Linked DNA regions of Lonchura striata. The protein of the gene in region 1 purifies or fractionates together with the protein of each later gene. This does not show direct contact. Links are inferred from orthologs where the notes say so. Each region holds a gene or a part of one and is shown on either strand. Other genes may lie near its edges. The genes, in order: PRMT8, HNRNPU and EWSR1.

What was found.
Region 2: the proteins of PRMT8 (region 1) and HNRNPU purify together in Homo sapiens (affinity purification with mass spectrometry; 3 studies listed by BioGRID and IntAct, counting the BioPlex papers as one, with this or other methods). This does not show direct contact. The link is inferred for Lonchura striata from reciprocal best matches to the Homo sapiens genes PRMT8 and HNRNPU.
Region 3: the proteins of PRMT8 (region 1) and EWSR1 purify together in Homo sapiens (affinity purification with mass spectrometry; 3 studies listed by BioGRID and IntAct, counting the BioPlex papers as one, with this or other methods). This does not show direct contact. The link is inferred for Lonchura striata from reciprocal best matches to the Homo sapiens genes PRMT8 and EWSR1.

Annotation. Positions count from the first base shown.
Region 1 is NC_134604.1:30,643,194-30,646,936, reverse strand, and holds the start of PRMT8 (protein arginine N-methyltransferase 8), read right to left. Parts: upstream 2,584-3,743; 5' UTR 2,562-2,583; coding exon 2,514-2,561; intron 1,915-2,513; coding exon 1,771-1,914; intron 1,155-1,770; exon of another isoform or gene 958-1,154; intron 1-957. UniProt on the Homo sapiens protein: S-adenosyl-L-methionine-dependent and membrane-associated arginine methyltransferase that can both catalyze the formation of omega-N monomethylarginine (MMA) and asymmetrical dimethylarginine (aDMA) in proteins such as NIFK, myelin basic protein, histone H4, H2A and H2A/H2B dimer.
Region 2 is NC_134605.1:31,754,355-31,758,097, reverse strand, and holds the start of HNRNPU (heterogeneous nuclear ribonucleoprotein U), read left to right. Parts: upstream 1-855; 5' UTR 856-1,093; coding exon 1,094-1,826; intron 1,827-2,641; coding exon 2,642-2,753; intron 2,754-2,873; coding exon 2,874-2,947; intron 2,948-3,743. UniProt on the Homo sapiens protein: DNA- and RNA-binding protein involved in several cellular processes such as nuclear chromatin organization, telomere-length regulation, transcription, mRNA alternative splicing and stability, Xist-mediated transcriptional silencing and mitotic cell progression.
Region 3 is NC_134620.1:3,037,990-3,041,732, forward strand, and holds the start of EWSR1 (RNA-binding protein EWS), read right to left. Parts: upstream 2,494-3,743; 5' UTR 2,446-2,493; coding exon 2,433-2,445; intron 1-2,432. UniProt on the Homo sapiens protein: Binds to ssRNA containing the consensus sequence 5'-AGGUAA-3'. Might normally function as a transcriptional repressor. EWS-fusion-proteins (EFPS) may play a role in the tumorigenic process.

The DNA.
Region 1 (3,743 bases):
ATCCCTTCTGATTTTCTGAAGGTAGAAGTGGAGCAGGATATGCCTAATCTGCAATATTTTCACTCTCATTTCACAAGTCTGTCACTGATGGATACTCTGAGGAGATGAAGCACAGCATGTTAATATCCTCCTAACCTGTATGCAACATTGGAATAAATCTGTTTTTGTTAAAAAAGACCTTCTCCATAAAATAACATTGCAGTTTGTGCAGCATTGCACAAGCAGGAAAACATGATTAAACAACAAAAATGTGCTAAGAGTGAATGAAATAGAAGAGGAATATTTAAAGAGCTCTTTTCACCTATTTTCCCTGTCTAAAAACAATTTCCATAGACAAAAACAGCTTTAAAAGGAGCTGTCTGTGCTTGTACATTTTTTGTTGCAATCCTGTCCTGGGATCCTGGGACCTATAATGCAATATGTGCTGTCAGGTCTACAACAGTTTACAGATGTGCAGCCAGACTTCTTTCTATTTATAGATGCCTCTTCTGCAAGCAGTACTCTATGGGGTTGTAGCGCAGTAGCAGGCATGTTCTTTGATTTAGTGCTTACATCACATTCATTTAAGAAAATTTGGCTCTTCACCTGGCATGGCAAAGGAGGCATATTCATGAAGGTCAAGCAGAGAGAACACTATTGTGAAGAGAAATGTGGATGGAATTCATGAGCGAGCAGGACACCTACTGGGAGGAATAACTGAGAGAAGGAGACATTGGGCAGAGATGTGGAAAAAAGAAAGAATGAAATAGTCATGTGTTCACAATAGGTTTTGCTCTTTATTCCCTCTGCAGGGTAACTGGAGAGAAGGTTCAGTGCTGTCCCTGCAAGGCAAAGCTGTAAAGTTGCTTGGGGTGCACGTCCATGGGGTCTGTACAGGTCTGTGCTGCATCTTGCTTAAGCATGTGTTAAGTGTTCAGTCAGAGTGCTAGGCACAGCCTATAAATAGAAACAGGGAGTTTGGCACACGCTCGCACTTTCGCCTGTCTCCTTCTCACATGCTCGCAGAGATGCTGGGACTGCATCCTGCATCCTTCTGCTTTTCCAGACCTGAGACTTCGCACACTGCTGTATCCCCCGAGAAGTCTCAGTGAGGTCAAGACAGCCCCAGACAAGTAAACAGGGGCTGCTCAACCCCAGTGTTGAGGAAGCGGAAGGTAACGGGTGGGGGAGCGGCGGTGGGGGGTGGATTTCTTGCAGAAAACCTGAGACCTCGCAGGCTACCCTCCCGGCCTGAAGGCAGTGCAGAGCTATTTTCGGCACTGCCCAGGCCAGCCGGACAGCCCCCACCTCGGGCAGCTCCGCTCTGGTAATATCCAGGATGCTGCAGAGACGCGGATGCTCCTAAAGTGGCCCCGAACGATCCCGGCCAAGGCTGCCGGCGGAAAGCGCGGGGAGCTGGCCAAGGTGCTGCCGCAAGGGACGGTCCGTCCCTTTCGGCGCGCCCAACACCCGAACCGCCGCCGCCCGTCCCCGCTGCCCCCAGCCCCGCGGAGCCTCCGCGCCGCGCGGCCGCGCAACTTCCCGGGAAGCGGCCGCGGAGCAGCCCCGAGCGCCTGGAGGGCTCGGCGCGGGCAAACTTCTCTGCCCACGGGGAACGGAGGGATCGGGGGGAGAGGGGGGGCGAATGCAGGAAACCATAGCAGCACGGCAGGCAGGAGCTGGCCGGAGGGGCCGGGAAAGTTGTTCTGCACTTCCCGCTGCTTCTGCCGAGGGATCAGAGCTCGGCTCTGGGGGAGCGCGGCGCCGGCTCCGGCTCGCATCCTTACTCACCTCGGTGCTGTCGGCAGCGTTCTCCGCCATTTTCCTCCTTAGGAGCAGGCAGCGGGAGGAGTGTTTCATTCCCATAAGAGCTAGCCAAGGGGTTGGGGCTTCGGGGCTGGTGTTTTGGTTTGTGTTTTCAAAGATCTCCAAACACTGGTGTGCGCCAAAGGACAGGGAGAAAAAAAAAATATGGAAAACAGCAATAAATCAGTCAGCTTTGTCCTTTCTTCGTCGTCCACAGGAATGTTTGTCTCCTCTTAGCATCGGGAGCTCCTCAGGCACTTTCAAGTCCTCCTCTTTCTCCCCTCTCCTCCACCTCCAGCGAGTTCTTGGGGTGGGCAGAGAGAGGCGGCACACACTCTTCAGGTTAAACTAAAAGGCTGTCGGGCTATGAGTCCTCCCCTTCAGAGAAAGCAGTCAGGCTAAACAGGAGAGAAGCACCAGCTAAACTGAACTTGGGCGTGCAGTGACCAGCTGGGCATCTTTGTGTCCTGTGGCTACTCTTCCAGAGGCAGAGGGAGCCAGAGACAAAGCAACAGGACAAGGAAATCATAGCCCTTTATTTTCCTTCTTTGGGCTTCTTTCTTTCTCTCTATGTCCCAGGACACTTCCTTTAAAGACGGTCACAGAATTTGCCACCCTCTTTCTATGAATGTCTTCTGAAATAGAAATCCCTTCTCCTCCTCCTTCTCCCTCCCTCCTCCCCCCCTCTCCCCTTCCCTTCCTTCTCTTCTCCCTTTCCCTCTCCCTACCCCTTCTGCTCTTGGGCAGAGCTTGGTGCCCCTCACTGGGAATTGCATTCACGTGTCTTTCGTAGGGAAAAAAAATACATAATTTCAAGCTCCCCCCACCCGTCGCCTACACCCTCTCACACACAAGCACGCATTCACACGTACGCACACACACGTTGTCTCTCTCTCACACAGACATGCACAATTTTTTTTTTCTCTTCCCCATCCCTCCTCTTCTTTTGAATCAGCAACACTTTTCTTTGCAAGGACTCTCGGCAAGGCTCTTAGAGAGCAACCGAAGAAGTCTGCTCCAGCTTCTTTCCTCCGAGTTAAGTAGCAAACCTGCTTTCTTAATATATCTTCGTGTGTGTGTTCTCCCAGCTCCTGTTTTACTTGAAGTTTTTCAGGAGGATCCACGCTCCGTCAGAGAGCCGTGAACTGTAGGGATATAGTCCCGATCCGGCTGCAGCTCCTGCTGAAAAGGGGGGAGGAGGAGCTGGGGGGAGGAGAGGGGAAGAGGCGGAGGGAGAGGTCTTGCTGGGGAGGGGAGGGAAGAGGCTAAAGGTGATTTGAACTTGTTTTTAGCCTTTTCCTAATGACATCTTCCTCTGTAGGAGTGCATCGCCACCTTCCCCACACGTTTATTTTGCTTTCACTCCTCCGGGCACTTTCTAGTTCTGAGTTGTCAGCTGGGAGGATTGGGTTTACCTCACTCGTGTTGCTGCGGGTAAGGGCGGGAGAGGGGGCGTATTACATAATTAATCCTTCCAACTTCACTTTCCGCAGCTCCATCTCCAGCCCACTGTTCTCACGTTTCTGTTTTGTTTTTATACGGAGGAGGTGAGAAAATAATGCTGCTGTGTGGGTGTGTGTTGCTCGAAGGATTTCAAGGACCAGAACAGGATTGCTGCTCTCTGAACAGTTTGAAATTATTTCCTCTGGGGGTGCCAATGGAGACCTGAAGAAGAGGTTTGAAAGATTACTTTTGATGCATATTTTAAGGACATGGCCAGCCCAGATGCTTCATCAGTAAAAAATTTTGATAGATTTGGGGTTTTGAATTTTTGTCTCTTGCAGACTATTTTAATACCTTTCAATTAGAGTTTATCCTCATCTGACCTCTGGAATACTGACATACCTTGAAGTACTGCCAAAACCCAGGAGGTCCCTGGGCACTCGGGAGGCAGAAATATTCCTGGGGGTGGGGGACTGGAAATAGAGTATATGAATTAGAGAGTAGAGATCAAAATT
Region 2 (3,743 bases), on another chromosome or scaffold:
TTCGTGGTAAACACACTCCCTTTTGTTGCTCTTCATACTGATCCTCTGGTGATTTGACTTGTATTCCTTTTCCTGCAATTGAAAATTAGCTTTTTATCCGGGTTCCCTAAGGAAGCCGACTTGCAGATCCGTGCTACCATTCTGTTTGTATGAAATCCTCTCCACTCTTTGTTTTCATGTTACTTTTGAGCGAATTGGAAAAATCCAAAATTAAACGACTGTACAACGTGAGCGGCTGTGGAGAGCCCCATATGAACGCTGTGCAGAGGGAGAGGCAGGGGGGAGAAAAGAGGGAAAGCTGCGCAGTTTTGGTGAGCAGATTAGCCCTGTGCCGAGCTCCAGATTAGTTCATGCCTTTGTTACCGCCGGCTCCGGTCACGGCTCAGCCCCGCGCCTGCCTCCCGGTGCTGCGGGCACGGGGTAGCCCCGCTCCTGCCCTTATGTAACTGCTGTAGCAGGCCTGTGCCAGGGGAACTATTTGGAGCAGCAGTGTCCCTTTTTAAAGCCTGTAAGCAATAAACCGTGCGAGACTAGGCCCGACCAGGGCGCAGGGGAGCCAGCGGAATCGGGACAAGGCTCTGCGAGGCTGTGGCTGGAACGCGGGCCCCTCGTGGGGGGCATTTCGGTCGGGCTGTGGCCTCACGCGGGCGGGAGCCGGCACGGGGGTGGTTCTCAGCCCGGAGCGGGTTCATCGTGCCGGAGCGGTGTTACAGCCGATCCGCCACCGCCAAGGGACCCGCCGGGACAAGGGCGGCGGGGCATGCAGCGCTCGGGCGGTATTTACGGTAATGCGGTCGTTACGGTAGCGCGGGAGGGCCTACGTGCGCGGGGGCGGGACGGCGCGCGCGGCGCCGGTGCGTGCGCGGCCCCGTGAGGCGCGTCTCCCTCGCGAGCTCGCGGTGAAAGGATTTGGCGCCAGGCGGGTCCGGCTCCGCAGCTCCCGCAGCCGCACGAACCCCCCGCGCCTCCCGCCCGCACCCACCGCCCGCCGGGGCACCGACACACCGCAGGCAGAGCCAGAGCCGCCCGTCTGTCCCTGCTCGCCGCCGCCCGCGCGCCGCCCAGGGACCGAGCCGCCACTGCTGCCGCCGCCATGAGCTGCTCTCCCGTGAACGTAAAGAAGCTGAAGGTGTCGGAGCTGAAAGAGGAGCTGAAAAAGCGGCGCCTCTCCGACAAGGGCCTCAAGGCTGAGCTCATGGAGCGGCTCCAGGCCGCGCTAGATCAGGAGGAGGCCGGCGGGGGCGGCCCCGCCAGCGGCGCGGCCGAGCCCGGCAACGGCAGCGTGGAGGGGGAGGCGGCCGAGAGCGGCGGGGGCGCCGCGCAGCTCCGCCAGGGGGGGGGCCCCGGCCAGGCCGCGGCCTCCGCCATGGAGGACGACGACGAGGAAGGGCTGGAGGCCGCCGATGGCGACGCCATGGAGTTGGGCGAGGAGAACGGCGAGCGGGCAGGGGCCGGGGGCGGCCCCATGGAGGAGGAGGCGGGCGGCGAGGAGGAGGAGGAAGAGGAGGAGGATGATGAGAACGGCGACGACCAGGGTTTTCAAGAGGGGGAGGACGAGTTGGCCGACGAGGAGGAGGCCGCGGCCGGGGACGCCAACGGCCACGGTGACCAGCAGCCGCCGCAGCCCCAGCAGCCGCAGCAGCCCCCTCCGCTCCTCCCGCCGCGCGGCGCCGCTGCCGCCAAGGAGGCTCCCGGCAAGAGCGCTGGGGGCGCCTCGGGGCCCGCCGCTGCCTCTGGCCCGGCGGGCCCCGCCAAGCAGCAGCAGCAGCAGAAGAAAGCGGAAGGCGGCGGCGGAGGCGGCCGCCCCGGGGCGCAGGGCGTCGGGGGTGAGTGAGCGAGGCGGCGGGAAGCGGGGTGGGGGCCATTAATCCCATCCCCCCGCCATGACGGGGGTTGTTGGGCCGGGGGGGGTTGGGGGCGGCGGTTTCCGGGGCGCGCGCGGGAGGACGTTGGCGGCCCCGCGCCTCGTGCTGGCCCGGCGGGGGAGGGGCGGGGAGGAGGGGCGGCGGAGGGGCCGCTGGGGCGCGCTGTGCATTGTGCGCCCGCAGCGCGGGGCGCCTGACGTCACTTCCGGGCTGGGCGCCGCCGCCGCTCGGGATGGCGCTGGGAAGGCCTGGCGGTACAATGGAGGCGGGAGGAGGAATCCCTTCCCTGGGGCTGCCGCCCGCGGCCCGCCGGGAGGAGGCGCAGTCGTGCGGATCGCACGGTGCCCTTGCGAGAGGCTGGCAGTGACCCGCTGCCTCCGTGGTGGGCGGGTGGTGATGGTGTTGCGGGTCTGGAGGCGCGGTGGCTCAGGAGATTTTTTTGGTTTTTTTTAATCATTTTGGTGGGGATTTCTTTTTTTTTTTTTTTTTTTCGGGGCTGTTTCAATGGGGCTCATAACATTGAGGGCCGTACTCGCTGCTGTGTGGTGTATTGGCGACTTCCGTATGCTAAATAATTTCTGATTGGCGACAAGTTTTGAGTCTTCCCGTGAAAATTCAACATACAGGGCTTTACCTTAGTAACATAGTAAAATGCCCTTTTAAGATGTTACTGCTTATCTTATGCTGTAGCTTGCTGCAGCTTGCAAAGTTGAAGCCATGATATAGATTCTAATCCAAATTAAACTAATCAAAATAAATCATTGCTTCTGTTCTAGGAGATGGTAAAACAGAGCAAAAGCCTGGTGAGAAGAAGAGGGGAGTGAAGAGACCACGTGAAGACCATGGCCGGGGATACTTTGAATACATTGAGGAAAACAAGTACAGCAGGTAAACAGAATTGGTACTGGGCACATTTTGTGATGAGGAGGCATAGAGTACAGAAATGTTATTTTAGCTTAGTGAAAATACGTGTAACTTATTCTGTTTTGTTTGGTTTTGTTTTTTCAGGGCCAAGTCTCCTCAACCACCTGTTGAAGAAGAAGATGAACATTTTGATGACACAGTGGTTTGTCTTGATACTTGTGAGTAAACATGCTTTCCTTTACCCTGGAAAGATGTGGTGTTGAGGCTTTTACTCTTAATGCCACGCTTTCTGAGACGGGGAGGATAACATTTGTTGATTTTCATTACCAGGTAACTTTTTTAAAAAAATTAGAAAAATACTCTGTTTCCACCCATTTTCAGCAAAGAAAACAACAGAAGGACCTGAGTATGTTAGCAGTAATAAACTTGGTTTTCTTTCAATTCTGTAGTGATAGACAGTTCTGTGAAGAAATCTTAACCAAAACACTAATCTGGTATGGAAGTTTAGGTGAGTAAGTGTAGAGTGCACATAGAACACTCTGGAGACAGGTTGATGAAACAGCTGTCCAGCACTGTTGCCCAGAAAGCTCAGAGAGTAGCATAAGTGTTTACAAAGCACAGTTTGGGAAGTGAGCTTCCTGCATACATTCCCTTATTTAGATACTGACTAGTGGAGTGTTTCTTCTGTCTTCTGATCAATTTAACAAAATCTAGTAATGCTTCCTCAGAAATGAGCCATTCATGTAACGTGTGAATGTGTGGCTTTGCGTGGTGGTTTGTGCAAGTGGGATGGCAGAGAGACTTAGTCTACAGAGCATATAAATGGAGAACTATCTGCAAACAGGGTTGTTTTTGAGGCAGATTATAAACATTATTACTGTAACATTATTATGGCAGAGTTGACATTTGTATTCTTGAGGGTAAGTATAAGGACTCAGTGCAATATTAGAAAACTTGATCTTGAAGTAATGCTTGAACTCGTTGGATTCTTACAGTGCCATGGAAGGGAAGCTT
Region 3 (3,743 bases), on another chromosome or scaffold:
GGGAGGAGAACCAAAATCCTGAAAACCCCAGCAGCAAAGCCTGTGCTGAAGTGATTTGCTGGCAGGGATGGAAAATGAATCCACATGGCAATTAGGAGGCTAAATTTGAAAGGACTGCAGCTCCCAGTTCCCTCAGAGGCAGCAACAGCTCCAGCTCCCAACCCAAGGTCCGGAGCACGGATGAATTCATCATTCCCAGCAGACCTGGCCAGAGACCCCAGCTCTGCCAGGAGCACAGAAGGTGCTCAGGAGATCAGGAATGAGCCCAGAACCTCCTGGTGGAGGCCACAGCCAGAAGCTGCATCAGTGGAGCTGCTCCCAACCATCCCTGTGCGGGAAGAGTTTCCACTGCTCCCATCACCATCACACCTTGGCCAGAAATCCAAGTTTCTCCCAAGAATCATGGAATATCCCCAAGTGGGAGAGACCCACACGGATCATGCTCAACTCCTGCACTGGAGAACTTGAGGAAGCAAATTTTGCCTGGCTTTAATGCCATTATCCCACAATTCCCAAGGCATGGAGCCCCAGGAATCACTTGGAAAACACAGCTTCCATCCAGCACAACCTCCTGTTCCCCAGCCTGTGCATCCATCCCTACTAAACCCTTCCTGCCCAGCCTCCAGGGGTGCTCCCAGCTTCTCCTCCTGCTCCCTGGGCAGGAGCAGAGCCCCTGGATCCCTGCTGGAGGCAGGAACAGGGATCCCAGCAGGAATCCTTGGCAGTTGTCCATTCCTTTGACCTTGCCCAGAACACCTCACACGGGGAAAGAAGACACTTGGAGTTCTCCAAAGCTTTCCCTGCTCCCAGGACACAAGGCACAAGTTGTTAAACTCCCCTGGCAGCATTCCCACTTCCCTCTCAGGTTGGCAAGTGGGATACTGGAACATTTTCCTTGTTCAGTTCAGGGTTCTGGGTTTGTTTGTTTTTTTTTTTCATTCACTTTACATGTGGTTCTGCTAAATCCTGAGTGTTAATTAATGCCTGGTCCCCCTCATCCAGCTTCCCTTTCCCTACCACTCCACTTTTTTCCCTGCTCACCCTCCAGCCACCAAAACCTCATTTAATTTGTTTTTAGCCCATTTTGGCCTCGAGCTCCACGCAGGGGTATCAATTAACCCCTCTCCTCACAGCCCTCCCCCAGTCCCACCTAAACCCAACATTTTCCCCTCTGCAGGATTTAATTCCAGGTGTGGAATTTGCAGTTTGCCTGTGGTGATGCCTCTCTTTTAATTTGCTGGGATTTAGAGGAACATGGAACATTAATAAAAAATAATATTATGGTTCATTTAGTTAAACCCATCTCCTGGCTTTTATTTCCAGGGGGAAATTAATCTTCTTCCTTTTATTTCACAAGGCTCAGAAGCACACCAGAGGCTGAAAATAGCAGCTCCCAGGAGGAACAATTCCATGAATTAAGGGAAAACACAGCTGTGGTTTTAACCCCCATCCTGACAATTCCACTGGCAGATGTTCCTTTACTGACTTTTCTTTTTCAAGCTCCCCAAGGTGCTGTTGGTGATATTCCCTCACACTCCATGGCCTGGGAGATTTTCCTTGCTGGAAAAAAGGAAAATCCTCATTTCTTTTAAAGGGAGTCAAATCCTGCTGGGATTTAAAGTACTTTAAGGTGTACTGAGCTGGAGAGTCTCAGTCTCCAACTATTTGTATCCAGCTGGAGCCCTCGTGGAAAAACGTTTCATTCAGAAAAATGTGGAGCCATGGAGATGGTGGAACATCTTATCTCCCTGTGGGGAAAAGTTGGCAGAGGAGAAGGCTCCAGGGAGAGCTCAAAGCCCCTTCCAGGGCATAAAGGAGCTCCAGGAGAGCTGGAGAGGGGCTGGGGACAAGGGATGGAGGGACAGGACACAGGGAATGGCTCCCACTGCCAGAGGGGAGAGCTGGATGGGACTTTGGGCAGGAATTCCTGGCTGGGAGGTGCTGGAGCGGAGATCCCAGAGGATGCTCCGTGCCCGGCGGTGCCGCGGGCCGGGCTGGGAGCCCGCAGGGGCAGCGGGAGGTGTCGCTGCCCCCGGGATGGCTCCGGCTCCCTTCCCACCCGCGGCGCTCCGCCGTCCCGCATCGCAGCCAGAGCCGCCCGGCAGGGCCGGAGCGAGCCCCGCTCGGCCTCGGCTGCTGCGAGCGCGGGGCCCCGGCGATCCGGCGGCACCGAGCGGCCGCAAGAGCCGCAGCGGACACTGAGGGGAAACACCCGCGGCCCCGGCGCGGCCCGGGCGGGCGGACCGCTGGGACACGGGCGGGACGGGCCCTGCACGGCCCGACCCCAGCGGCCCCCCGGGCGCGGCGCCGCGGGCCGGCGGCGCCGTCCCAGCGCCCCTCCGGCCGCTCCGCGGCGGGGGCGGCGGCGCTGCCGGGGGTCCCGTCCCGCCCCGCCGCCCGCCCCGGGCCCGGCCCGCCCCGGCCCCGCTCACCCGTCGACGCCATTTTCTCGCCTTCCTCCTCCGCGCTGCCCGCCCGGCCCCGCCCCGCGCCGCGCATGCGCCGCCCGGCCCCGCCGCGCGCACCACCCCGCGCCCGGGGGGCGCCGCCGGCAGATCGCGCCCCGGGGGCTCGGCCCGCCCCGCTCCGCCGCCCGCCCGCCGCTGCTGCCGTCCGCGGGGAACCGGGACGGCCCCGCCGGCAGCGGCCGCCGCTCCGGTTTGCGGCTCCGCCGCCTCGCTGCGCGCTTCCCCCCCCCGCCGGGCGGAGGGATGGTACGGCCCGCGGCCGTTAGGGACCGTCGCGCAAGAGGCGCTCGGGCCGCGAGGCGGAGCGGGGAGCGCGGCGGGGGCGTGACGTCACGGCCGGCGTAGTGATGTCATTGCGGCGTGGCGGGGCTGCCGTGACGTCACGCGCCGTGCCGCGGGGGGGGCCTGGCGGCGCCTCCTGGCCGTGAGGTCGGTCACTCGGTGTCACCGGCCGGCGGCTGGCGCCACGGGCTGTGTGCGACCTCGCCAGGTGCCGAGAAGTGGCAGGGCGGGTGCTCGTTGGGGTGCCCGTGCTGTGGTTGGCATTGCACGCTGCCCACGTGGCGAGCGTGGCAGAGTGACGTCACCGCGTGTCATCGCTGCATGACGTCATCATGTCCCATGAGGACATGAGGGGGTACCGCGTGTCCTGCGTGTACTGGGGGTGACCCGGGCTGTGGTGGCACAGCTGGGTGTCCCATGGGTGGTGGGATGCGGGTGGGTGTCCCGGGGCTGATGTTGCATGGATTGGTGTCACATCGCGGGTGGGTGTCCCATGGCACAGCCATGTGTCCCCTGGGTGTCCCTGAACTCCATTCCATCCCATGGATCCCATCCCATCCCATCCAATCCCATCCCATCCCATCCAATCCCATCCCAAGGATCCCATCCCGTCCCATCTCATGGATCCCATCCCACCCCATGGATCCCATGGATCCCATCCCCTAGATCCTATCCCATCCCATTCCATCCCATCCCAATCCATCCCATCCCATAGGTCTCACCCCATGGATCTCATAGATCATATCCCATCCCATCCCATTCCATCCCATTGATCCCATCCCATAGATCCTATCCCATCCCATGGATCCCATCCCATGGATCCCATCCCATCCCATCCCATCCCATTCCATCCCATGGGTCACATCTTATCCCAGGAATCCCATCCCATCCCATAGATCCCATCCCACAGATCCCATCCCATGGATCCCATCCCATCCCATCCCAAGGATCCCATCCCGTCCCATCCCATGGATCCCATCCCACCCCATGGAT